3 linked regions of the Caenorhabditis elegans genome follow. The protein of the gene in region 1 interacts with the protein of each later gene in a pairwise test. Each region holds a gene or a part of one and is shown in the gene's direction. Other genes may lie near its edges.

Region 1 (7,591 bases):
ATGCTTTTTTCATAATCGAAAGTGTCAGTTTTCGAATCGGAAGTTACGAGAAATTGGCGACTTGTGAAGTTTGTTATTCAGAAATAAGTTTGAATGAAAAATACGTATTTTCTTCTATTATACATGCGCGAAATTTTGCGATTTTTGTGCCCCGATCTCAACACGACAAAATTTTGTGTCATGTGTGCGCCTTTAAAGAGTACTGTAATTTCAAATTCTTGTAGGTGCTGAATTTTTAGTGTTTTTTTCTAAGTACGTATTCTCTCACTATTAGTTAAAAATTCTCTATTTTTTATTGTTTTATTAAATCTGTTTCTGTCAAAAAATATGAAAATTCAATAAAAAAAAGTTTGAAACTACAGTACTCTTTAAAGGCGCACATCTTTTTGCATTTAGCAACAACATTTGTCGGGTCGAGACCGGGCACCGTATTTTTCCTGAAAATTGCATAATTTTGCGTCAGAGTAATATTTAGTTTTTTCGTGTTTATTTTAATGTGAAAGAAAAGTTGAATATAAAATTATTTTTTAAATGGTTTTTCAAATTTTTTAAATAAATCCGAAAAACTGCAAATCCTTTTTTACTCGAGGAGTACACGAGTCGCGTAAATCGACACAGGACACAATTGGTGGCCGAGGTTTCTAGGTCATCGGTCAAAAGAGAAGCCCTTCCACTGAGAGCTCACAGAGCACAAACTTAAAAAATAACTTTTTACACGTTTCTAATTAATCCCTCATGGCTTCCCCCAGTATCAATTTTACTATAACCTTCATATAGTATATCAGGATTAATTCCAAATTGTAAGAGGTCAAAACATAATCCGGTTAGTCAGTCTAGACAGGTTGAAGATTTTTTTTTTCAGAAAAGTACAGAAGGATCTTTCGTCAATATAGTGAGAATTTGAACATCTTGGGAATTTGAAATTCGAAAAAATGCACGTGGCCGAGTTATCCCTTGTCGCGGCCACACATCGCCCCAAAATTGAGGACGATTTCTTTCAAATGCTCCTTAAAATGAGCCAACTCAAGAACGAAGTCAATGACGTGGTACTAATGTCGGTTTATTTTGTCGAATTTTTTTCGGATGAGAGGCATGACTCATAGGAGCAGAGCCAGAATTTTTCCAAAAAAAAACTTCTCCTCGGGGAGTACACGGATCAGAGAGCTTGAAAATCAAGTTTTATACTTTTATTAAATCAATTAATTACCAGCGTGAACATTCAAAATTTTGATTTTAAAATATTCCATAGAATTCAAATTTCTCGTGGCAAATGTGGAACCTATTCGACATTTGAATTTATTTCCGAATATTTTTCTCCGAAAAATCAATCGATAAATGGATATCAAAGTGATTCGCGAGAAGTTGACCCTGACAACGTCGATTACGGTGGGTTCCGCGCGAAATTTCTATTCGGAAAAAGTTCAAGTGATTTTTTTTCAGAGCGAATCGGTCGCCGAATACGAGCACGATGTCGACGAATGTTGTCGCCTTCTGGAGCACAAGCTCGAGCTGGAAATGGAGAAGAAGCTGCAACTGAGCAATCGGATCGATGTCGTTCAGTCGCAGGTCACCGAACTTTGGGATCGCGTGGATAAGGCGAGACGTCGCGAATCGGACATCTCGTGTCGCGTCACCGCCTGGGCTCAGCATTTGTCGGAGATGATGAATGAGGTATTACATAGTCGTCAAAAAATTATGTGGGTCTCACCACGCTGTGAACGAGGTACTGTAACTCGTGTCGATTTACGGGCACTAACCTATAAAAAGAACCACTAAATTTTGAGAATGGGTATTGCGCAACGTATCTGACGCGCAAAATATCCCGTAGCGAAAACTACAGTAATTCGTTAAATGACTACTGTAGCGCTGGTCCGATTCTGAAAATCAAAAAAAACTTCCGAATTTTCCGAGAAATGTTTCCGAAAATAAAAAAAAGCCCGTAAATCGACATCCGTGCTACAGTAGTCATTTAAAGAATTACTGTAGTTTTCGCTACGAGATACTTTGCCCGTCAGATATGTTGCATAATACGCATTCTCAGCATTTAGTGTTTTTGTAATAGCGACCCGTGAATTATCACAATGAAAAGTAACCTTTTGTCCGCGTGACGAGACCATGCGCGTAAGATATGGCGAAAACTAATATTATATGCAATTTTTTGTTCAGGTGAAGCTGAAAAAGGCTAAGATGGGCACAACGATGGAAATATCCGCGACACTTTCTGCTGAAATTCAAGAAAGTCTGGATTTACTCGCGGAAAAGCGAGTGATTGTTCAGAGAATGCGGGAGGAAATCGACTATCGTCGCCACTTGCACAAGGTTTTTATTAATAAATCTGAAAATGTTTAAAGCAATATTGAAACATTTTCAGCAACAACTCAAAGATTTGAAGCTGGATTGTGACAGAGAGGAGGAGAAATGCGAATATTGGAATGATAAAAGCGCTGAAATCGAAAAAGTTGTGGAAATGCTCAAAGAGCAACGCAAATCGCTTGGCGAACGTGTTGAAGAGGAGAAACGAATGGAGCAGGAGCAGAAGAAGATGCTGGAAGAGCTTGAAATGTTGTTGAAGAAAACTGGGAAGAAACGGCAGATTTTAGATGAAAACGCCAATTTGGTGGCTTCTTTCTCCAGTTTGACCGAGGAAAGCTCTTAATTTTTATGTTTTTTTCTTCAAAAGCATTTTTTTTGTGTGTTTTTTCCTCAAAATAAATCATTTTTAATTGTTTTAAAACATGTTTTTGAAATTAATCGTCAATAACGAAAGTTGCGTCAGCTACCACTGCTAGCGCGTTTCTCGTGTTGCTTGCGCTTTTCTCGATGGCAGCGAATTTTAAATTTAAATATTTAAATTTTCGTTTTTCCTGCCTAAATTTACTTGTTTTTCACCATTTTTCTTGTGAGTTTATCAACTTTTCAGGTAAAAAATGAACAGAAATCGCAAAGGACACGATTTAGAAAACATTGAGCATCGATTCACCGATGAGGACTTGGCAGGTCTGAAGGAGCAAAAGCTTTTTAATGGTAAATGGATTATTTTGGAGAAAAAGGAGAAACGAGGAGCCGCGTATTGTTATCTTGTGTGTGACAAGCCGTGCAAGAAATTTGTGAGTTATTAAAAAAAATTAAATTTAAAAAAAAAAAAAGTAAAAAAAAAATTATTATTCGAATTTTCAGGGGATTCTTTACTTGGAAATCGGCGAGGACAACGTGACAACCATCGCGAATCAAGTAGATTTCTATCATCAGCAATCGTCACTTGGCTATTCTCATCGATTTTCCGCTTTAATTGATGCCGGAATCATAAATAATCACGTCTTCTTCATGGTCGTCAGAATCCGTGCAGGACCCACTTTACATGATCTTTTAAAATGTCTGAGCAGTGATAAAATGTCCGTAACTACTGCCAGTTTCCTCGCTGTCGACATGATTTCTGCTATCGAAATTCTGTCAGCTTCCGGATGGGTTTTGAGAAATTTCGACTCGAAACAATGGATGTTGGATATCAAAACGAGGCAGTTTTATTTGGCCGATGCTACTGATGTACGGACTATGTTTCCGCTTTTAAAATAACAATTTCCACTAAAAAATTGCAAGAAAAATCGCGATTTTCAGCAACTTTTCACCTAGAAAACGCATTTTTTCGGAATTACACGAAAAAACCAATTTTCTTAAAAATTCACCTAAAAAATCTCGATTTCCAGCATTTTTTCACCTGAAAAGCGTATTTTCTTGGAATTGTACAAAAATCGCCGATTTTTAGCAATGTTTTCACATAAAAAACTTAATTTTTTGGATTTATACAACAAGAAACCCCGATTTTCAGTAATTTTCCTGAAATTCGCCCGAAAAATCTAAATTTTCAGCAATTTTCACCGAAAAAGCGTATTTTCTTCGTATTATACAAAAATCTGTGATTTTTAGCAATGTTTTCACATAAAAAACGTATTTTCTCGGTAAATCCACAAAAAACCAATTTTCAGTTATTTTTCTTGAAATTTGCCCGAAAAATCTCAATTTCCAGCAATTTTTACCTAATGGGGTTATTCAAGTAGTGTCGGAAAATTAAAAAGTGTAGAAAAATTACGTCACAACCTTATTCAAGTAGATAAAAACATGTATTTAAATACATTTGTGACGTCACAAATGTATTTAAATACATTTTGCTACATTACTTGAATAACCCCATAAAAATTTGAAATTTTTGGGAAAAATGAATAAAAGTCCCAGAATCGTCTGAAAATCAACATTGTTGGTTTCAAAAACTCCGCAAAACAGCGAGTTTCTTTAGAAAAATTATTAAAAACATATACTTCGTCAAAAAAAAACAATTTCTACTGAAAAAAACTAAAAATCGCAATTTTCAGTCGAAATTCGAGTTTATTTTTTCGATTTTATTTTTTTATTAATCAAATTTTTGATTTCTTGGAAGAAATTTCGGTTTCAGACTCTTAAAATAAACAATTTATGCATTTAAAACCCCAGATTCTCGTTAAAAATCGATTTTTCTCATACTAAAATTCCAAAAATTTGCAGATCACCGTCTCCTCTGACAAACGTCACCGTGCCATCGACGAGATTCATCTCAGAACAGCCGAATCTATAGATTTGCATTGGAAAACCGGAGATTTGATCTACGCGCCGCGCTCTTTTGTCGATCGAGATCAATCTCATCGAATGACTGAATTGGATATGATGGAAATGATGCTCTATGTGCTCTACGATTGGACACATGGAAAATTGCCGTGGAAATCGTCGAAATCCAGAGAAAGAATTATGGAAATGAAGGAATTGTTCATTGAAAATTTGCAAAAAGAGCCGGAAGAAACGAATAAAGTCGAGCAGCAAATTGATGTTGATGTTTGGTTCGATATCGCGTATGGATTTTGGAAAATTTAGCAAAAAAATGAGATTTTCATGGAAATTCATCCAAAAAATCGGGATTTTCAGTGATTTTTCTTCCTTTAAGAATGATTTTTGCTAATTACATTTTTAAAAAATCACGATTTTTAGCTATTTTTCATTTAAAAAATCATTTTCTTGCTAATTATTCAAAAAATTCAAATTTTCAGTGATTTTTCACCAAAAAAAGTAGAAAAAAGTAGATTTCTTGCAATTTACACAAAAAATCTCGATTGATAGCAATTTTCACCTAAACACAAAACAAATAATTATCCCAAAAATCCAGAATTTTAGCATTTTTCCTAAATACTAAAAATCATTTTTCTTGCAATTTTTATAAAAAATCGTCTTCTAATTTTTTTCACTCAAAAAATAAAATATTTTCCTGAAATTATCCCGAAAAGCCCCGATTTTCAGCTATTTTTCATCGAAAAAAAATCTAATTTTTATGAAAATTCACCCAAAAAACCCCGATTTTCAGCGATTTTTCACAAAAAAAGAATACAATTTTCTTCAAAATAACCCGAAAGGTTTCAATTTTCAGCATTTTTTTATGGAAAAAAACTAATTCACCCTTTTTTTTTTCACGAAAAATCAATTTTTTTAGAAATTCACCCAAAAATCCAGATTTTCAGCATTTGTTCTTCTAAAAAATATTTTTCTTGCAATTTACATAAAAAATCACTTTTTTTAAAAGCAATTTTTCACTTAAAAAAATAAAAATTTATTGTAAACCAGCCGTGGACCGCACCTTCGGCGCAGCCCCCGACTTCTGGGGCTGAAAACTAATTTTTCTGAAACTACCGTAATCATACAGTACTCCTACCGTACCACTATTGTACCACTACAGTACCCCGACTATATCCCTACACTAAGCCCAACTCACTATCCTCCAGAAGCCAAAACGTCACAGAATACAAAGACTACATAGACTACAAACTATGGACAAACGGAATAAGCGCTTTATATATAGTAAATGATTACCTGAAATATTTAGATTTTAAGCAATTTTTCCGAAAAATTGAATTTTCCTGCAGCATTTTCCATTTTAGCAGTTTTTTTTTAACGGTAAAAATGTCAATTTTCAGACTCCGAAACTTTGCAAAACATCTGAAAGTGGCAAAAGAAGAGCAAGAAAAGCTTGAAAAACTGCCGGTTCGTGGTGGAGCATGGTGTCCAAAGGGTCCACGTGCTGGAGCACAAATTTCGACTGTAAATCGATATTTTCTGGAATTTTTGAGCTAAAATTTCGTATTTTTCAGGTGAATTATCGTGGAATCATTGACGATTTCTACAAAATTGTGTGCAGCGGACGACCGGCTTGGGCTCTTCATTGGCGGGATGTAATGCTCGATTGGGACCGGAAACTGGAGAATACGGTACGATTTGGGATTCAATTTTTTGCGGAAAATTGGCCAAATTAGCGAGAATTGCCAAAAATGGATTTTTTGAGAGAAAAAAATAGTTTTTTTTCGTTTAAAATTGAATTTTTCACAAAAATGTAATTTTTTTTGTTGAAAAATTGAGAAAAAAAACTTTCCGTGAAAATGTCCAATTATTCATGAAAAATTGAGTTTTTCATATAAAATTGAACTTTTTGTAAAAAAAATTGAATTTTTTATGAAAAAAAAATTATTTGTCATCGGAAAAATAAATTTTTTTTTTGTTGGAAAATTTACTTTTTAGTGAAATATTTGAAAAAAAAACAAGTTTTCTGTGGGAAAATTGAATCGTTAACAAAAAAAAAATTTTCATGGAAAATGTAATTTTTAGTGGAAAAATTGAATTTTTCGTAAAAAATATTGGTATTTATTGAAGAATAACAATGTTCGTTAAAAAAAATTTAAGTGGAAAAAATTGAAAAAATCGAGTTTTTTGTTTAAAATTGAATTTTTCACAAAAATATAATTTTTAGTAAAAAAAAATTGAAAAAAAAACAAAAATTGAGATTTTAGCTGAAAATATTTTTTTACAAAGTCTGAAAAATGTTCAAAACGCCCTTTTACGAAATACAGTAGTTTTGGGCTATTTTTGGATACCCACCTGCAAATTCAGTTTTTTTTTCAAAATTTTCTTCTAAAATAATAATTAATTTCAGCCAGAAACATCGAAAATGTTCGAAGCCTACGAAAAACACCAGAGATCTCTCGAAATTTCGGAAGAATGGGAACGTCTACAAGCGACTCGCGAACATTATACAGTGATGAAAAATCACACAGAAACGGAAATGGCAAAGAATCAGGCGGCAATTGTTGAGTATTTGATGCCAGAAGAAGAAGCTAAAGAGGAACCTATTGATAAGAAGAAAGATCCAGAAGAAGAAGCAGCAGCAGCTGTTGTAGGGAAGAAAAGAAGAGGAAGAAAGCCTAAAAAGAAGGATGATCCGAAAATGGAATTGAAGGATGAAGTGAAAGATTTGAAAGATTTCGTGGTTGAAGGTATACAAGTTACAGAATTTTCAAAAAGTCGGCTTCATATGAGCGGCAAACGATTTTTTCCAACAAATTGCCGGAATTGGAATTGCCGATTTGCCGAATATGCTGGAAAACTGGCAAATTGCGGAATTTGACGGAATTGAAATTTCCGACAAATTGGCGAACTTCATCCCCGTGACTATTCTGTAGACTTTTCAAGCCTGTTTATAGACTTTTGGGTAGCTATAACAGATGATACTGATGAATAATGCGTA
Region 2 (7,739 bases), on another chromosome or scaffold:
TAGCGCTGTCTGTAGACATCCATCGACTGCATTGACATCTACATTGTTTTCAATAAGAAATTGAACAACTGGATCACATCCGAGGTCCGTAGCCCATAGGAGAGCGGTCATCTGCAATTTAGAAAAATTTTCGAAGAATGATGAAGTTTCTGTTAGGAGTGTAGCTTTTACGGTGTAAATTACAAGAAGAAAAATTAAAATCAATTTTTTTCAAATTATTTACCGCCAAATATTGATCCTTGGCCTCAATAATCTCGGGTTCATTTCTCAAAAGTGTGCGCATAGTGTCGATATCGCTCACGCGCATCGCCGCGAACCATTTCTTTTCGGTTTCGGTTTCCAGTTTCGTTGGCGGGTGCACCACAGCGTCGTCGAACATTTCTGGCTGAAAAATGATAAGAGGGGTACGGTATTTAGTAACAACTTTACGTGTTTTATTATTTCACAGACTCAACTTTAATTTTTTTTTTGAATTTTTTGCATCTTTCGTAAGTTTGCCTTGTTAAAACGGTTTCTAATCTGGTGGGAAAAGTAGGAAAAAGCTTCAAAAACCATTTAAAAAAACTACAGTAATTCGTTCCCACTCGCTGCGAGACCCCTCGTCTCGGGAGGTCGCCCTCCTTTAAGTCATTACGGTAGTTTTGATACCAAATATAGACGTAGAGGCTCAATTTTCAAGTTTTCAGTACTATTCTACATAAAAAAATTTAAAATATACATTTAAAAAAGCATGATTAAGTGGGGATTAATAATTTTTTATCCTTTTCACCTCGATAACACCCATTGTGCTGGGCATCTTCTCCCACAGTCCACTTTTCTTCACCGTCTCTGCATCCGGATCCCAAGACGTGTCAAGCTGAGCCATGAGCTCACAATACGCTTCCATAGCTCTCGACCGGCTCATCTGACTATTCGCTAGCCACGAGTTGAACTTTTTGCGCGCGACCGTTTCGAACCAGTAGGGACCTTTTTTCGAGTCTGAAATTGTGTTCTTTTAGTTTCTCAGCTTCAAAATCGTCCATTTTAAATACCTGCTGGACCTTCTACAGCCTGCTTGTAGAGTCCATAGAATTTTAATATAGTTTTCTGATCGATTTTTGTCAGAAACCCCGGCAACCTTGTCGTCGCCGCGTCGAATTTCGCCTCAAGCAGCGTATCGATGGGTTCTTCTTCTTGATTTTCATTTTTTGGATGGTCCTGGAATGAAGAGACTGCCCATGCAATAATCATCTGGAAACTTTGTGTAACTACTGATTTCAGTCGGAAACAAAGAAATATGACCTGGCCTTTTCGATTAAAAATAACCAACTTTAATTCAAAAACAAAGCGAATAATTAAATAGAATCATTCATTTAAAAAGTACAGCAAATTAGTCCACCAAATCCTGGCAACCGGCATTTTGACGGTCTTCCGTCGTCATTTGGGACCATCTTTCAGGTGTGTAGGCGCAGATGGTGAGCGCGTGAGTTTCGTCCATGATTGGAGCAAGAGCAGCTTGGACCAATCTGTAAAATTGGAATAAGTTTATATTTACATTACTTTAGTGCAATCGTTGGGAAAACCAGCTCAGCTTGACTGTGACTTCCTTTAAATTCTTCCGTTTAAATTAATTTCCACGTACGTGGATCCACCCTAAGCTTTCAGCATTTTCAGGCTTACCGGTGAGATTGCAGCGTACACTTGCCCTCAAACGCCTCAGAGACGATGAGAAGCCGAAATTTGTATCCATCGCAGCCTCCGCTCTCGTCGACGACTTTCTGGAAGAAATTTTCGGTTTTTTTAATGAACAACATCAATAAAACTCACCAAAATCTGCGGCTTGATGGCTTCTGTGAGTAGCGCATTGACTCTTTCCACTGGTGATGCCATCTGTCGATTAAAATTTAATTTAGGAACTGAAAATTGAGCAGAAACGAAAATTGGAGAAAACCACACAAAAACCAGATTTTGAAAAAAAAAGTATAAAAATATTTTTTTATTGATTATTCATATATTTCGCATGTTTTTAGTGTATTTCTATAAAGAAAAATAAAGGAATAACTAGTAAAATCAACAGAACAACAAGTAGGTGGGGGAAAATATATGCTTTTGGGACTTTTTGGGGTTTAACAACAAACAAACTTTTTATGTGAAAGGATTCTGAGGTAATTTGTGATCATTAGACATTCAGAAGGGGTTGAAGAAATGGTTATACCAGCGGAACTTGACGGAAAGTGACGAGGGGACAAATTAGGGGATAGGCTCCTATGATTGCAGGATTTCGTGTCATTCGCGGATCGAAATTCAGGGAAAAATCGAAAAAAAGTTTATTGGAAAAGCTTCTCCTGGCGTCTCTTGGTCTCCTCTTCTTCTTGCTTCTTGCGAGCCTCGATCTCAGCGGCATCTGTGGTACGGGGCTTCAGGTTGAGACGTGGACGTTCTGCTGGCGGAGCTGATGGATCTGAAGTTTCCTCGGCTTTGTGTTGTTCTTCGCTCTCGCGACGTTGTCGGTATCCACCGCGATGTCCTCCGCCGCCAAATCCGCCACGACGCTCTCCTTCGTTGAAGCGGCCACCTTCACCGCCACGCCGGAAGCCTCCTGCTCCACGACCACGTCCTCCGCGATCTCCGAAGTTTCCTCCGCGTCCTGAGCAAAATTATTGTTAAAATGAGCGGAGAAAAATAAAATAATAACTGAAATACCTCCACGACCACCTCCGCGGTCACTGCGATCGCGCTGTTGGGCACGATTAACCTTGAGTACGCGATTTCCGAAATCGGCTCCATTAAGGCCACTGATAGCAGTATTCATCTGTTGTTCATTCTCAAAAGTGACATATGCGAATCCCTTGAAACTTCCAGAATCTCTGTCGTGCACAAGATGAATATCGAACTTTTTGAGCTGAAAAAACATTTATTAGAAATTTCCTGCTTTTCCGCAGTACCTCTTCATCTGTGAACTTGCAGTGCTTTAATATAGTTTCGATGTCAGTGGCGATGGAGTCATAGGGGAGCCCACCGATGAATGCCTGTAAAATTCGATATATTTAAAATGCCATTGCTTTGAAGTACCCACTAACCTTAAAAATCTCATCGGCCATTGCTTGAAAAGCTTCCCCAAGTGAGACGTCTTCTGAAATTCATTTAAGTCTTTAAAAACGCACACACGAAAGCTCGAAAATACATATTTGCAAATCAAATTATTTATTTAATTTTTTTCCAACTCTCAGTCCGCAATCTCGCGTGGCATTCGGTGTATTGGCACAGTGCCAGAGAGACGCAGTGCGGCAGAGATGCGTAGCCGCCCCGTTAACATGGCAAGGGGCTCTACGCAGCGCGTAGAGACGCAGACATGTAACGCTTGGCAAGATGCCAAACAAATCGATACGCCCTTTTCAACAGCCGTTAGAGGAGAATGGGCGGCAGTTTGAACGATTTTTATCTCATTTTCAGTGGAATAACTCATAATAATTATTTTAGAGTCAAATTCGTATCGATTGAAGCTTCAAAAATCGAGAAAGCCGACTATATGAAGTCCAAAAGATGATTGTAAGTGTTCACCGTTCAAAATTTTAACTATACATCAAAATTAAAATTCCAGTGCATCGAATGTGGCGGTACCGCGTTCAACAACACGGAACTATGTGAAAACTGCATGGATGTTAACCGTTCTGGCACGATGTCGTTGGATATGGCCCGTCAGGTAGGAAATTTTCGATTTTCCACTATTTTTTTTTCTAAAATCAGAAAATTTGCAGTGTGACATGTCGTCCAGCTGTGGATCGTGCCAAAGAATGATAACTGCAGATTCGAGGCAGTGCACAACTTGTCGGAAGTGAGATTTTGAATTTTCAATTGTTTTTCACCGGATTAAAATACATTTTTTTTGCTTTCCAGAAGCTACCATCTCTCCTGCGACTCTTCCGACGTCTCAAGCCTGAACAATTTCGTCTGCATATCCTGTCGTCGGCGAAGCCAAATGCTGCCGGACGACGTGATGCTTTCAGCCTCCGCACGCCCTTCTCGCGGACAAGACGCACCTCTTTCTCCATTCAGCGACCCCTCAGTTCCCCAGATTTCACTACAAATGCAACCGGCACCTCTGCCGTCCAGTTATCCTAGAAGTCAGGATTTCAACGGGGATGTGTACACCCAAATAGCCGCCATGCAGCAACAACGTCAGCAGCAGCAGCAAAATCAAGTTCAGCAGATGTTGGCCACACAGGCACAGCTTATGGATGAAATTAGCGATGGTGGTGGTACGAATGACAGCGATCGGAATAGTAGTCCATTTTATCAAGAGGCTTCCGACTACGATGAGGATTTCGTGCCTGCTAGGTATGCCGTAGATTAAAATTCCGTGAAATACGAAAATTCGTTTGAAAATCGAATTAAAGCCTTAAAGGAACACCGTAATACCTTGAAGGAAAGGATGCCCCACTAAAAGGGGAGCAGAACGAAAAGGGGAGCTGGCACTGTGCCAAACGCACAAAACGCCTTTTTCTCATTCAACGCACGTTGATTTTTGAAATTTTCTTATAGAAGATACGCTTAACAACACACGTAACATCGGAGCATCGTTGTATCGTTTCCTTCGAGAAAAATAGCGTTTGGCACAGTGCCAGATCCCCTTTTCGTTGCTCTCCTTTTCATATCTCTCCTTTTCGTTTTGCTCCCCTTTTCGTGGGGCCTCCTCAAGGGAAGCACACTTTTACTTGGGTCTCGCCACGACGAGAAATATATTACTGTAAATTTCAAATTTTCGCTGGTGTTCTTTGTTTTTTGGGTCACAAATATAGTTTTCTGGTAGTTTGGCACAAATAATTTTTTAAAAAGTAGTTTTTAACCTAGTAAATTAGAAAAATTCTGAACTTCAGAAAAATTTATCGATACATACCGTATTTCTCTTATTAGTATGACCTCCGTATCAGACTTGCACTCCCTATTAGTGTTGCACTTCATACCCCCTCTGAAAATTAGTATTGCACTCCCCAATAGTCTTGCATATACTTTTGTCCTGCAAATTGGCCTCACTAATTTTAAGATTTCAACTATATTTTATGTTTATTTTGCAATAATTTTTGACAAAGTTCTATGAAATTGGAATTATTGAACCTTTTTTATTGCAATTACAATCAAATTTTCTAAATTTCCAAATAAAATTGGAATTCTTTCATGTAAAAACTAGAAAGTCCCAACTCAGAAAAATGTTCTGAAAATTAGTATGGCACTTCCTAATAGTATTGCAAGCGGGGAGACCTTCGAAAAATATTGCAGCCATATTAATAGAAGAAATAAGGTATTTATAAAAACACTTTTGTTAAATTAAACTTTTGGAAAATTAATATTTTCCAGCACTCGCGGACGTGGACGTGGTGGAGGCGCCAAGAAAAAACCAGGCCGCGGAGGATCCACTGGTACTCGTCGACAAACGAATCCCGGCCCGTCGGGCTTCTTTTCCGCCACACAGCTTCAGGCGATGAGTGGTGATTTCTCCCACCTTCACCAACCGCAACAAACATCATCGACACGTGGAAAGAGGGGAAAACGAGGAAACGGCACGTCGGTGCCACGTCAGCCTGGCAAGGGACCGGGTCGTGGACGTGGCCGTGGGCGCGGTAGTGCAGCCGCCATTGCTCAGCTCGCCCAGCTTCAACAGGTGCAATACGGTGCTCAGGGAGCCCCAATGTTCAATGGTGCCCCACAGCTTCACCCAACCCAACCCACTGTTGCTCCTACTCTTCCACCCAGTGTTACCTATCAAAATGTTGCTCCAACTGCTCCTCCTGCTCCTCCTGCCCTTCAGACCCCTCTTCCCGATCCGCTGCCCTCAATTGTTCCGAGTTTCCAGCAGGCCCCACAGGCGGTCGCAATTCGAGAAGTCGACGAGCTGATGCTCGAGGATGAAAGCTCACGGCAGTCTGGCGGCTCAAGATCTGATGAGCCAGAGTATATTCGTACGGCTATTGTTTGCAGAGTCAATGACGAGTTTTTGCAAAAGGTAAGATTGAAATATGAGTGTCATAAAGGAAATTTAGCTGGAAAAACTATAAAAATTATTTTTTGTGATGAATATTGAGAATATAATTTTAATATCTTTGAAAATTTGAAATTTAGATTATTTTTTTTGAAAGAAGGTTTTGTCGGAAAGTTTTCCAAAAATTGACTGCTAAGCTCAAAAAATCAACGAATTCCCGGTTTTTCAGGCTTGTATGTGCTTAGTATGCGGATCGATTGGAAAAGGGCCCGAAGGATCGATGGTGGCATGCTCAAATTGTGCACAGACGTATCACACGTATTGTGTAACCCTACATGATAAGGTAGGCAGGCGGAATCCCAATTTCTAGACGGAAAATAGAGTTTTCACTTAAAAAAAACTTTTTTCAGTTTCGAGGCATTCTCAAATCTGATTTTTTTTTCTATAAATTTGATTTAATTTCTTTTTCGAAATCCCGGATTAAAAAATTTAGAGTAAACATTTTTTTTCAAAGTGTCTGTCATAGTGTCAATAGTTCACTAGTAAAATCTTTTTTTTCATAGTATCTGATATTATGCAACCAATTTGATGCAAAAAAAAAACAATTTTCTGAAACTATGGAAAAAAATCGTAAAAGTCTAATTTTCAAGCCAATTTTGTAAAATTCAAATTTGATCGATTTTCCAACTGACAAGATACATTCAGAGTAAGAAATTTATGAAAAGCAGGAATAAATATTAAAATAACCAAAATGTTGAGGTGTTTTAAATCTAGTCGCTAATTTCTCAATTTGTGCAGCTCAACTCAGCAGTAGTCGGACGTGGTTGGCGATGCCTTGACTGTACAGTTTGCGAGGGATGTGGAACCGGAGGCGACGAGGCGAATCTGCTACTCTGTGATGAGTGTGATGTCTCGTATCACATTTACTGCATGAAACCCCTACTAGACAAGATTCCCCAAGGACCGTGGAGGTGTCAGTGGTGTTCAAGATGCCGGAGATGCAATCATAAAGCAGCGTCTGGCAATGATTTAACGTCGCAAGGACTGTGTTTCCCGTGTGCTTCACTCCGCAAATGCCCGAGATGTGAACGGAATTATCAATTAAACGAGAAGCTGATTCGGTGTAGCCAGTGCAGCAAGTTCGTGATTTTTTCATGAAAATCCAGAAAAACAGATTTTTATCTCAGTTTTGAACGAAAATTTGAAGTTTGAAGTCAAATACATCAAAATTGTCCGAAATTGTCGAATAATTGTCTAAAAAAGGAATTTTTATTCAGTTGCTAATTTTAAAAATTTTATTTTTGAAAATCTCGAACGAATTAAATTTTTTTATGAATTTCTGTGAATTTTTGTGAAAAATTTAGATTTTTCTTAATAAAAAACAATGAAATATTTTTTTAAAAAACCAAACAAAAATTGTAATTATTCTTAAACATTTTCAGATGGCAACATGGTGCCTGTGAAGGTCTCTACACAGACGAACAGCTCGAGCAAGCAGCAATCGATCGTATGAGATGCTCGGCGTGCCGTCCGAAAAGAGTTCAACCGAGTGGATTCTCTGACGTAGATACTGTATGGTGCGACTACGTGGCACTTGATAAAGATGCTCATGAGATTTTGAAGTCGAAATACACACCGTCCGCTTTGAAGAATCATATGATGGAATCTGTTGGTTATCGAGAATCATTCGATCATTGTGAGTAGGAATAATTGGTGGAAATTCCGCTGACATTTGTCTGAAAATCGGCTGGAAGACGATTCGAAATTTTGTTTGAAATCAGCT
Region 3 (10,786 bases), on another chromosome or scaffold:
CCTCTCTCTCATGAACTTCTTTCCATTCGTCTATTTTTTGGCGTCGACATGGGCGGCTCGAAGGGCGCCGCGTCTTTTCCTCTCTTACCACATCGACGAGAGATCACACAGCGCTTGGAGAGCGCCAGACACTTCAGACGGAAATTATCGATCGAAGCGGGCCGCCGGGCCGAAGGACTCTTCGTTTCTCACCCGTCGTCTCCTTTTTCACTATGATCGTTCGTTTGGGTGTATGTCCTTCAATTTATTGATTTTCTGGTCACCTCGCCTTTTTGCCCGTTTCGAAACTAGTTTTTCCTCGGTTCATCACCATCATGTGATTCGTTTTCCTCCCGCTTTTTCTAGTTTCACCCCTATACTAATTTATCTACAAAATTGTTTGCTAGAATTATGATCCACACTATTAAAAGGTATCATCTTAACGTCTATCTTATTTTCAAAGTCTATGAAATGATAATTCAAATTTTGATATTTTTCAGATGCTTTCGGCACTTCGAACTGCCGGGGCAGTCGGTACTCGCCGTCTTGCTTCGACTCAAGCGATCGCCAGTAACAGCGAGGCACCAAAGGGTATTGCCACCACAGGTAAACTAAAATTTCAAATAATCTCTTTAAAAAATTATTGAAAACTGTTTTATAATTCGGAAATTAATCGGAATGCCAGGCCAGTTCATGACACAAAATTATCCAAACTTTTGTTTCTTTAAAAATTGTTTATTCTTGAGAGTTATGATTCATTCATAACACCAAGATTGTCTCTTGATCAAGAAAAAAATTTTGAATTACCATTGTTGATTGGGAAAAAGTTTAATTTTTATTGTGTATTTCATAGTACACCAAGAAAAAATATTTTTTAAAAATGCGGGAAAACTAAAATTAATTAAATTTTTAGGAATCCCTCTTTCATCGGATCAAAATTCTTCTAAGCTCAGAATGTCTTTTATTTTATTTAATTGAAATCATTTTGTAATTTCAGGAACTCCATTCCTGAATCCATCGTCTAAAGCCGAGTACGCGTTGGCTCGTCTTGATGATGTCCTGAATTTGGCTCAAAGAGGTTCAATTTGGCCACTGACGTTCGGTCTCGCATGTTGTGCTGTCGAAATGATGCACTTCGCTGCGCCAAGATATGATATGGATCGGTACGGAGTCGTTTTCAGAGCCTCTCCCAGACAGGTTAGCTATACTGATCATTTTGAAATAAAAATTGTGTAAAATTAAATTTTTGAGTTGAAATTTTCCCATCAACAACAAAATGTAGTCTTAAAATTCATATTTTCCAAGTTCTAGAATTAATTTGGCAATTATTTCTCAAAACTCGCACCCCTAAATATCAACTCCATAGCATCATTCTCTGGTCAACAAGAAAAAAAATGATATCGTTGTCATGACAAAATTTAGTTTTCAGTCTCTCAGTGTATGCGTTTTCAAAATTTATTCTATCTATTTATCAAAATATTTCAGGCCGATTTGATTTTCGTTGCCGGTACAGTAACCAACAAAATGGCACCTGCACTTCGCCGCATATATGATCAAATGCCAGAAGCAAAATGGGTTATTTCAATGGGATCATGTGCAAACGGAGGAGGATATTATCATTACGCATATTCTGTACTTCGTGGATGTGATCGTGTGATTCCAGTGGACATTTATGTACCAGGATGCCCACCAACTGCTGAGGTATGTGTCGAATTTTTATGATCGCTTTTAAGTTTGCCTCATTTTCAAAAATACCTTGAGTTTTGAATCTTTTTTGGAGAGTCTAGAGTTTGTTTAGTGGCTGGCTTGATGTCAGTATTAGATCTCACGTTATCGTATCAGCACACCACAGCTAATTCATTTTCTCTCATTATCCATATTTATTTGGTCCACCTGTTACACAAAAAACGCACTCAAAATCTGACTGCTCAATTAAGGATAATGAGTGTCCAGATCTCGTGCAGGCTCATTTTCCATTAATTGAGTAACAATTTGTTTCAGTTAATGTCTGAAAATATTCCAAGAAAAGCGTGTTGCTATGTTCAAAAATGAATTTTAATAATTCTATGACGTCATAATATGTACCTCACTATAATCTCGACACCCCATCATTATCAAAACTGTTTTTTTCGGGTTTTTCCGAAAAAGATTTTTGAAAAAAATTTCCCAATTTAAGAATGGTGGGCTAAGGACGGCATGATGTAATCGCGCTCCACGACCGATTGTAAATATTTCGAAAATACGTGGGTGCATGTGTACTCAATTATTGATCGAATTGGCGCGAAAGTCTTGTGTTGTCTACGCTCTCTTGCATACCATTGAGTCTTTATTTCTCTATTTCTGCTTAGTTTCTCAAGCATTCACTAATGAATATTTTGCCGTATCTAATGCAACAACAACTTGGTGTTTTGTTTAAATCTTTAGCTCTTCGAAATACTTTATCACATTCTGACTGTATCAGCGAATTTCTAATACATTTTAAATTAGTGAAATTATCTGAATAGCTTTAAAAATATTCCTAGCCTGCAGTCTTTTCTGAAAATATGTTTCGTCTAATAAAGAAAATAATTTTAATATAAAAAATTATTCCAGGCTCTTCTATACGGAGTTCTCCAACTTCAAAAGAAGATCAAGCGTAAGCGAGAAGCTCAACTTTGGTACAGACGCTAAACAGAACACGAGGCGAAAAGAAAGTACGAGAAAGTTGGAGAACTGTGAAAAAATTCGCAGAAAAATGGTCATTTTGTACGAGTAAGCCCCACTTCATTCATTTTTTGTGTTTCTCCACCTTTTCTCCATTTTCTTTTTTCTAGATCTGATATCGATAGTTTCGTTCGTTTTTTTCTGCGGTTTACTTTTTTTTTCGAATAGTGTCTATTTTTACCTCATGTTTTTTTTGGTTGAAAAAAAGTCGATAACATTTTTTTAAAGTTCTATTTTTTTCTCTCATTTTCTTTGGAACGGTTAACAACGCCGACCCTTTGTGGTTCTCTTTTTATTTATTTATTCATATTTTCACAAAGTCTGTGAATTTTTATATAGTGATTTGAAAGGAGATCACGACGCACTTTATAGCGCCGCCAAGTTTTTTTTTTTGGATTTGGTTTTTGGATTGAAAATAATACAAAAAAAGTCTGTGTGGATTGAAAATTGTATTGCGCAAATTCAAAAACACAAATTTTCTGGCGCCTCTTCTGAAAATTGCTGATCCTTTGTCACGGGCACAAACCTATCGTACACATTGATCTCATTGATTTCCTGAATGAGTTAACGTGAGTACGTTGAAATATTTTTTGCAGGATTTTGCAAAACTGATTCATCAGGTGTGCCCGTGTTTTTTGCGCGATTTTGGTCCATTAACTTCCAAAATTGGGAAATCCACACGGAACCGCGCTTTTCGAAACGCTTTTTAGGGAATAGAAAAGATCACATTTTTCTACTTTTTGTTTGTGATATTTTCACTACTGGACCATTCAAATTCGCCTTAATATCCCTTTTCCGAATCTGCAGTTTTATATTTTTCCGTCGTTTCGAGACACAGCGGAGGATCGGAGGTATTGAAATCAATATGTTACCGAATAATCAATGGCAAATACCTATAAACAATGGATTAACACATCAGGAAAATATGGCAGCACACGTGAGTTATTGGAAAATTATTGACATTTATTAAATAGTTTAAAATTCTTGTATTTTACCCAAGGATTTTTCTGTTCCAATCTGTTATTTTTCAAAAAGTAAAACTGATGGATTCCAAATTTTCAGGCAGCCGTCATGAAATTGAGAGTACACGATCTTCAGGTTAGATACCGTTTTTAATCAATCTTTATTGTTCAATACCTCAACGAGAAGGCGATGTGAATCAAGAATTTATGAATTTCAGTCGATTATCTCGCAATTGTCACTTCGAAAGCCACGTCCACAAAAATCGGAGCATCAGAAGGTCGTCGTTGAATCCTTGCGTGATCCTCATCATGCTCGGCAAATTTATCAAATGGTCATTTGTTTTTCTCGTTATTTTATTTATGTTTTTTTTTAAATGATGTTTTACAGCATTAATTTTCTCGAGTTTACAGGCTTCCAATTTCCCGAACGGAAATTATGAGGTAAGTATGAAAAAGTTAAATACTTTCAGTTAAAAAAAAACTATGTCAACTTTGATTAAATAGATGTGTGAGGTACTTTGGGTAACGTTTACCAGTGTTCTACCTCGGAGGAAATTATTCATTCACCTAGTATTGTCTCTTTACTCACACAATAAGTCTCGCATTTATCTCCACTAGCATCCTCATACCCACCATATATGTAGCCCTTTGTTTCTCTAAGTTTCCTCAAATATTTCATCCATTCTGCACTTGCTTCCTCGCAGCTCCGGCAACGGGACTTTCGCCCGTAATAAGGTGTTAAAAACCTCAAAAGCAGTGGATCTTCGAAAATTTCTTAGTTGTACTTTGCCCTGACCTTCTTTCCATGTTTCATACGTGTAGCTTGGCGCGTAGTTTTTCATTACAATTTTTATTTTACTAGATTGATTCTTTTGAATACTGTCACACTTTTTTGAAAATCAAATTCAAATTTTCACTCCTAAAGAGGTATTTGAGTTTTTTAATAATTGTTTCACTTTGAAAAATCGATATGGAAGCGAATTGGCACGATGTCGCTCGTGAGAAACTGGGAATCGTTTTTTTTTTTGTTGTTATTTCACAACAGTTGATTCGAATGCGCGTAACTATTTAAATCAATCGAATTTTTAGTTGGCTTATTATTGAAATTTTACTAAATTTTAAGAAAGTCCTGTTATCAAAACTCCAAAAAAACGGCTAGGTTTATCAATATATATCATTTCTTCGCAAGCACCTCTCCTGATGACATGTGCGCTCTATTGAGAAACAAACGTTCAAAAAATCTCTTCCGCTTTGTTTTTTATTCCCAAATGTATTTTTGCAAATGTTCTAATTGTCTAAAATATTCCACATATTTAAAGTTAGAGCCTAAAAAATTGTTTGTAAATCGTTTCTGTTTTAATAACTAAATTAAAAAATGTCAGATGCAGAAGCGACCTGCAACAACATCCCAAGTTCGGTCTCATCCATATGTGCTGCCATCTCGATCTGGAGCTAGTAATCACTTGGTCAATCATCATTATCAGCAGCAACAACAACAACAACCACAGCCTCACAATCTACTTCATCAACAAATGATGGCGTCACATCATTCACATCTGCAACAGCAGCACCATCCGTCGACGGTGAGATGGCTAACTCCTGAACTGCTCGAAGAGCAACTGAGGGGCTCGATGAGATACGGCGCTCCCGCTGCTGCTGCTGCTACCAACGCGCCGCTCCATTCATCTTTTCCTAATCATGGACGTTCTTCTCAGCAAAGTTTGCAGAAGTCGGAAAAATCAAATAGGGTGAACATTTTCGCCGCATTTTTATTGCCTGAAATTCACGATAAGAATGAACGCAAGAATATCGAGGCGGAAAGCATGTGAAGATATACTTTCGGTTTATGACCGTAACGGAAAATTTACCTGAAAAAATTACACTGGTAGCTTCTTCTGGGCACATATATCATATTGGCCAGTCGCGGTTATTTGAAAATTCCTCAATCGTGATACATTATGCAAACAAATGTCCTACCGTTTATTGAATGCACTTTTTTGAATTGCGTGTAGCATTCAAAAAAAAGAAAGAAAAATTCGAAGCTCCAAGATTTGCACGCTGTTATCACGAAATTTTCTGCATGATTCCGAATGGCGTAAAAACTAGAACAAGTGTGGTTTTAAGATATTACAGTATGGCATTCTTAGGAGCATGTTCATGAAGAAAAGCTTAATATGATAATCCTCTCTAGGCATTTCTTCATATTGCCGTGCTCAATTTTCAAATAGTTTTATTTCCAATTAGTTCGTAGTAGCATGTAAAAGTGTTTTTTTACTACCAAAAAGCAGGCATCATTAGAAATTGCGCGGCATGTGTTATACAGTTCGCTCACACGAGTTCAATGTTATCACCTGAAAATTGCTTTCAGCGTCTCTTTCTTACATTCCCACATGTCTAACCCATGTATTTTTTTTTCAGCCGAAAAAAATGTATGCTGATAATTTTGAACCGCTTCCACTTCCATTCTACGATGTTATTTCTGTTTTGCTGAAGCCTGTCGAGCTGCATTCATCAGACAGTCCAACTTTGAAGCAAACAAAACAGGTTGGTCTCAATTTACTCGCTCTCCAAGCCGGTTACCTATTAATTACTAATTTCAGTTACAATTCCCGTTCTTATTGACTGCTGAGCACATCTCCAAGATTTCGTATCGAGCTGATGTTACACCTCTTCCACGATATGAATTGCAGTTGAGGTACGTTTTATTATCATTGAAATCGGTTTAAATCCTTGTTTTCAGGTTCTTCAATCTTACTGAACCAGTTCAGGGTCCTCAAAAAGACGACTTTCCACTCAATTGCTACGCACGTGTTGATGATTCTGTCGTTCAATTGCCGGTATGAGATTTGAAACGTTCACGAAATATATTTAATTTCAAAATATCAATTATTGTTAGGAGTTACTATTTCTTCAAATTTCAGAATGTAATCCCAACAAATAAGACAAATGCTGAGCCGAAACGACCATCTCGTCCAGTGAATATCACTTCAAACATGAATAGATACAAGAAAGAGCACACAGTTGCAGTCGAATGGTTAGCCGACAAACGTGTATGGGCAGCTGGAGTTTATTTCGTTCATCGTGTTAACTCGGATATTCTCTTTAAACGTCTTAATCAGAATGTATCAAGACATCGATCACTTGAGGTTACCAAGCAAGAAGTGATCAAGAAACTGTCTGGAGGTGAAGATGATATTGCTATGGATCGTCTTAATATCAGTCTTCTTGATCCACTGTGCAAGACAAGAATGACAACGCCTTCTAGATGCCAAGATTGTACCCATTTGCAATGTTTTGATCTCCTCTCATATTTGATGATGAACGAGAAGAAACCAACGTGGCAGTGCCCTGTTTGCTCGAGTAACTGCCCATATGATAGACTTATTGTTGATGAGTAAGTTTTCAATTCACACTGACTAACTTTGATTTTAAAAAAAAGCGAATTATCTCAATTCTATGTTTTCATTATTTTTCTATTAACTCTTAGATACCGTTCCCTCACTTCGAAATTTCCAATTCTTGTGAAGACACTATTATTTTTCCAAACACAATTGTTATCTATAGCGATGGACAACACCCTTAAAATAGCCATGATGAAACGGTGATTAGGAAATTCGGAAACGCGTCGTCTAAAATAGGCATGTATTTGCAAATATAGTCTACGATTATTATCAGTAGTTCGTATTGGTCTCCAACTCAAAATTCAGCTCATGACGTAAGAGAACATGAAACAAATGGCAAAGGTCAATCATCATAATTGAGCAAGAGTTTTAATGTGTAATTGAAAATTATTATTATTCAGAAATTCAAAATCCCTGTAAATAATTCTCAATCAATTAATAATCCAAATAGTGTTCTCACTCTTATGTTTACCATGATCCAGATTCATATTGTGAACAGTGCATCATGGACAAACAACAAATTCGATGGCTAACTTCATGCAGTTTTGTGTGAAGCTGTCTGTTCGCACTATTCGCTCGTTTTCTTAATTGGAAAATACTTTTTAGTCACGGAAATGCCTGAGAAACTGCTTAGACGTTACCCAATTCAACATTTTATTTAAGAAATATTCAAATATCAAAATAAAAAGCAATGTTCTGAGACTATGCAAATATTGTTTCATCTTTCAGTTATTTCCTCGATATGCTTGCAAAGGTGGATAAGAATACGACGGAAGTTGAACTTAAGGAAGATGGCTCGTACGATGTTATCAAGGAAGAAGCTTTTTGCATCTCAGATGATGACGACGATGACGTTGTACCTGCTACTGTTAACGGTACAGCGTCATGCTCTTCGACAAATGGCAATGGACTTGCAAATGAAGCAGCGAAGAAAAAACCAGCTGACGACGACATAATTACCTTGAGTGATGACGATGATGAGGAATTGAACAGAGGTATAATGAACTCTCTGAACGACAGCTTCTCTCCTGGCAGACACACAGGTTTGCTATTCAAATGGCGTGGTGTGAGACAAGCTGAGAATATTGCAGTTTCTAGCAATATCAATTAAAAGTATTCACTTGAAATTCAAATCTTATTTCAGCTTCCGCAGAATTGGCTGCTCAAAAGACACCACCACAGCAGAAAAAGAAGACGAAAGACGATGACATAGAGATTATTACTCTCGATGATACACCACCTCGTCCAGTAGCTGCAAGTGCAAATCTTCCAATGCGTCAGATGTCTCAACAGAATCAAATGCCAGTTGGCTCATCTCCATCTGGAATGGCCTCAACGCAAATGGGAATGAACGAGGGTGCAAGTAAAACTATCCGGGATGCGCTGAACAAAATAGGAGAAGTAAGTTCAGAAAAACACAAATCTTCAAAAGAGCCAATATTGTTAGTTATTTTCCATAGTTTTAAGAGGATTTGTTCTTAATTTGACTGAAATCAGTATTCTAGTTATAACTTATCCGTTTTTAACCAAAACTAATACAAAGATTGAATTATATATTTGATTATATTATTATATGATATTGTTAAACTAACATCTGCTTCTCCCTGTCCACACTCACTAAACTGTCTGTTTGTTGCAGCAGTCAGCAAATTCATCAACACAATCATCTCCGCTTGTTCAACTTCACCATACGACACATCCATTGAATTTTGCTCAATCATCTTATATGAATCCCTCTTCAGGATCTCAAACACCTACATCACAATACGGATATTCGGTATGCCAGCACGTGTTAATAGTCTACCACACGCACTAATACTCTAGTGATATTTTTTCATAACGACAGAACAAAAAAATCCTGTTTTAATCTCTTTTTTTTCTTTGTTCAAGCCCCTATTAATTGGATAAGATACTTAGATGATTGTCCACTGCACTAGAATTCTGTCGAATTGAAAAAAATGCACTAGTTTTACGTCTGGAATTATAAACTTAACAAATATTTTTCAAAATTTTTTAAAAATTGAACTCTCGTTTTCAGCCAATGATAAACCAGGCACCACACTTCCAAATGCAAAACGGGCTCATAGGGCGAAACAATCAAATGGTTCATATGCAGCAGCACCATCTTCAGCAGCAACAACAGCAGCAGCAGTCACCACAAATCATGTCTCCGTCTTTTTATGCTCAACAGCAAATGTCAAACGGTAATTTTTTGTACACCTTACAAAGTTTTTGTATATTATGTTTAAACATCAAAACAATCACTTCACGATCTTCAGTTAATAGCGAGTAAACTTGTTGTGTAATTGCAACCATCCTGCATGCAAATATATATTTATTTCCCTTACTTGGTTTGGCCTCACTTTCAGGTGACACCAATAACATCCAACCACCACGAATTCTTTCCATGGCTGAAATACAAGCAAATGCATCTCGACTTTTGGTAAATGGACACCTGATGATCGATCACTCAGGAGTCACTATGCGCAATCCACGTGGCTCACGGAATTAATGCATGAATTGTATTTTTTGTGCCGTCTAGTTCATTTGATTTATGTGCATCTTTTACCCATATCCACGATTTACAATTTTTAACAGAATCCTGCTTGTGCTTTAGTCTAGTAAGTTATATTTGTCTGCATTATACGGCTGATTCGATGAACTTTAACTAGAATTTTGTGACGGTAATGTTTTTGTTAAATGAAGCTGAGTATCCTGTATGCAATCTTTTAAATACAATTGAAAAACACAATCCACTAATTTTAGATTTTTATTTAAAAATTAGATTTTCAATATTCAAAGTTTCAGGTGGTGCATTTGCATATTATCCTCCACAATACCCGCAGCAGCAGTATCGTCAGAATTGATTGATTTCCAATCATACTGCTTAATCTCATTCTTTTGTTTTTTTTTTGAGTTAATTTGGCTTTAATTTAATGTTCGGAACTTCAACCGACCCAATCAAATATCTCACATTTCTCTCCGTGATTTTTGTTCAATATGTTTTAATTTTCAAATCGAGCCCCCAAATCGTGTTTCTAGTTTTCCATCCATTTCATCCGATGTTTTTCCACAGCCGTGAAAATGCACAAGTGGCCTAGAAATTGTAAGAATCTAGGCCATGCGGCTTTCCTGATACCATATTTTTTTCCATTTAAATGGATGCATTTGTTCTCCAATGAATCGATTTATTTATACATATTTGTTTTAAAGAACAAATAATCAATTATAATAATTAGACCGGGGTGGCGAAATGGGAACATTTTTGAGAGAAAAAACTACCGAATCAGTGAGAAGACTAGGGGGAAAAATACAGGGAGAAATCACAAGAGAGAGAGACAAAAATGAAAGAATGAAAAATAAAATAAATATAGGAAAAATAAAAACAAATAAAAAATGAGAGAAGAATACCCGCATTTTATGTTTTTTTCTTCAGAACATGAAAATATCAAAATTTTTTGGATTTTTGTCTTTATGCATACGGGCTCCATCGAAAATTAACAATTGAGCACGTTTGCAGAGATAAATTTAAAAAAAAAGAAGAGGAGCAATACGTGGAATGTCGGAGAGGAAGTTTTATGTCTTGAATCACAAAAATTTCGAAATAAAACAACGCTCTAATGCAAAATTACGGTAAACGGTCTCGACACGATCGGCATACCAAATGAGATGCACGGGGAAGACCTTTAAAGAGTACTGTAGTGTTGCACTCCACTTCGACAACAGGGCGAAACGTGAGGA

What was found. The genes of interacting proteins can lie anywhere in the genome.
Region 2: the proteins of prde-1 (region 1) and set-16 interact in a two-hybrid assay, tested with the Caenorhabditis elegans proteins (one large-scale study listed by BioGRID).
Region 3: the proteins of prde-1 (region 1) and gei-17 interact in a two-hybrid assay, tested with the Caenorhabditis elegans proteins (one large-scale study listed by BioGRID).

The regions. Positions count from the first base shown.
Region 1 is NC_003283.11:15,535,331-15,542,921, forward strand, and holds the start of prde-1 (piRNA biogenesis factor prde-1), read left to right. Parts: upstream 1-2,913; 5' UTR 2,914-2,927; coding exon 2,928-3,107; intron 3,108-3,177; coding exon 3,178-3,543; intron 3,544-4,536; coding exon 4,537-4,877; intron 4,878-5,990; coding exon 5,991-6,114; intron 6,115-6,164; coding exon 6,165-6,281; intron 6,282-7,000; coding exon 7,001-7,340; intron 7,341-7,591. Other genes in the region: F21A3.4 (Trichohyalin-like), read left to right, coding at 1,336-1,386, 1,441-1,671, 2,167-2,319, 2,372-2,656. UniProt on the Caenorhabditis elegans protein: Nuclear factor required for the production of piwi-interacting RNA (piRNA) precursors. Specifically required for piRNAs produced from loci associated with the Ruby motif. Promotes binding of the transcription factor snpc-4 at piRNA genomic clusters.
Region 2 is NC_003281.10:13,640,459-13,648,197, forward strand, and holds the start of set-16 (PHD-type domain-containing protein), read left to right. Parts: upstream 1-3,457; 5' UTR 3,458-3,522; coding exon 3,523-3,528; intron 3,529-3,580; coding exon 3,581-3,682; intron 3,683-3,737; coding exon 3,738-3,814; intron 3,815-3,876; coding exon 3,877-4,317; intron 4,318-5,334; coding exon 5,335-5,980; intron 5,981-6,185; coding exon 6,186-6,299; intron 6,300-6,754; coding exon 6,755-7,095; intron 7,096-7,398; coding exon 7,399-7,652; intron 7,653-7,739. Other genes in the region: acbp-5 (Acyl-CoA-binding domain-containing protein 6), read right to left, coding at 1-111, 224-385, 770-978, 1,032-1,230; T12D8.10 (BolA family protein), read right to left, coding at 1,370-1,505, 1,660-1,757, 1,807-1,869; drr-2 (RRM domain-containing protein), read right to left, coding at 2,307-2,626, 2,683-2,881, 2,925-3,008, 3,060-3,080.
Region 3 is NC_003279.8:9,100,301-9,111,086, reverse strand, and holds gei-17 (E3 SUMO-protein ligase gei-17), read left to right. Parts: upstream 1-3,504; 5' UTR 3,505-3,547; coding exon 3,548-3,619; intron 3,620-3,744; coding exon 3,745-3,780; intron 3,781-3,862; coding exon 3,863-3,976; intron 3,977-4,055; coding exon 4,056-4,085; exon of another isoform or gene 4,086-4,099; intron 4,100-4,389; exon of another isoform or gene 4,390-4,487; intron 4,488-4,767; exon of another isoform or gene 4,768-4,980; intron 4,981-5,026; coding exon 5,027-5,392; intron 5,393-6,062; coding exon 6,063-6,188; intron 6,189-6,244; coding exon 6,245-6,339; intron 6,340-6,384; coding exon 6,385-6,481; intron 6,482-6,565; coding exon 6,566-7,038; intron 7,039-7,774; coding exon 7,775-8,088; intron 8,089-8,189; coding exon 8,190-8,446; intron 8,447-8,684; coding exon 8,685-8,822; intron 8,823-9,083; coding exon 9,084-9,249; intron 9,250-9,414; coding exon of another isoform or gene 9,415-9,557; exon of another isoform or gene 9,558-9,764; intron 9,765-9,853; coding exon 9,854-9,912; 3' UTR 9,913-10,241; downstream 10,242-10,786. Other genes in the region: nduf-7 (putative NADH dehydrogenase [ubiquinone] iron-sulfur protein 7, mitochondrial), read left to right, coding at 480-585, 977-1,176, 1,465-1,680, 2,572-2,649. UniProt on the Caenorhabditis elegans protein: Functions as an E3-type smo-1 ligase. Mediates smo-1 conjugation to air-2 in vitro and is required for proper chromosome alignment.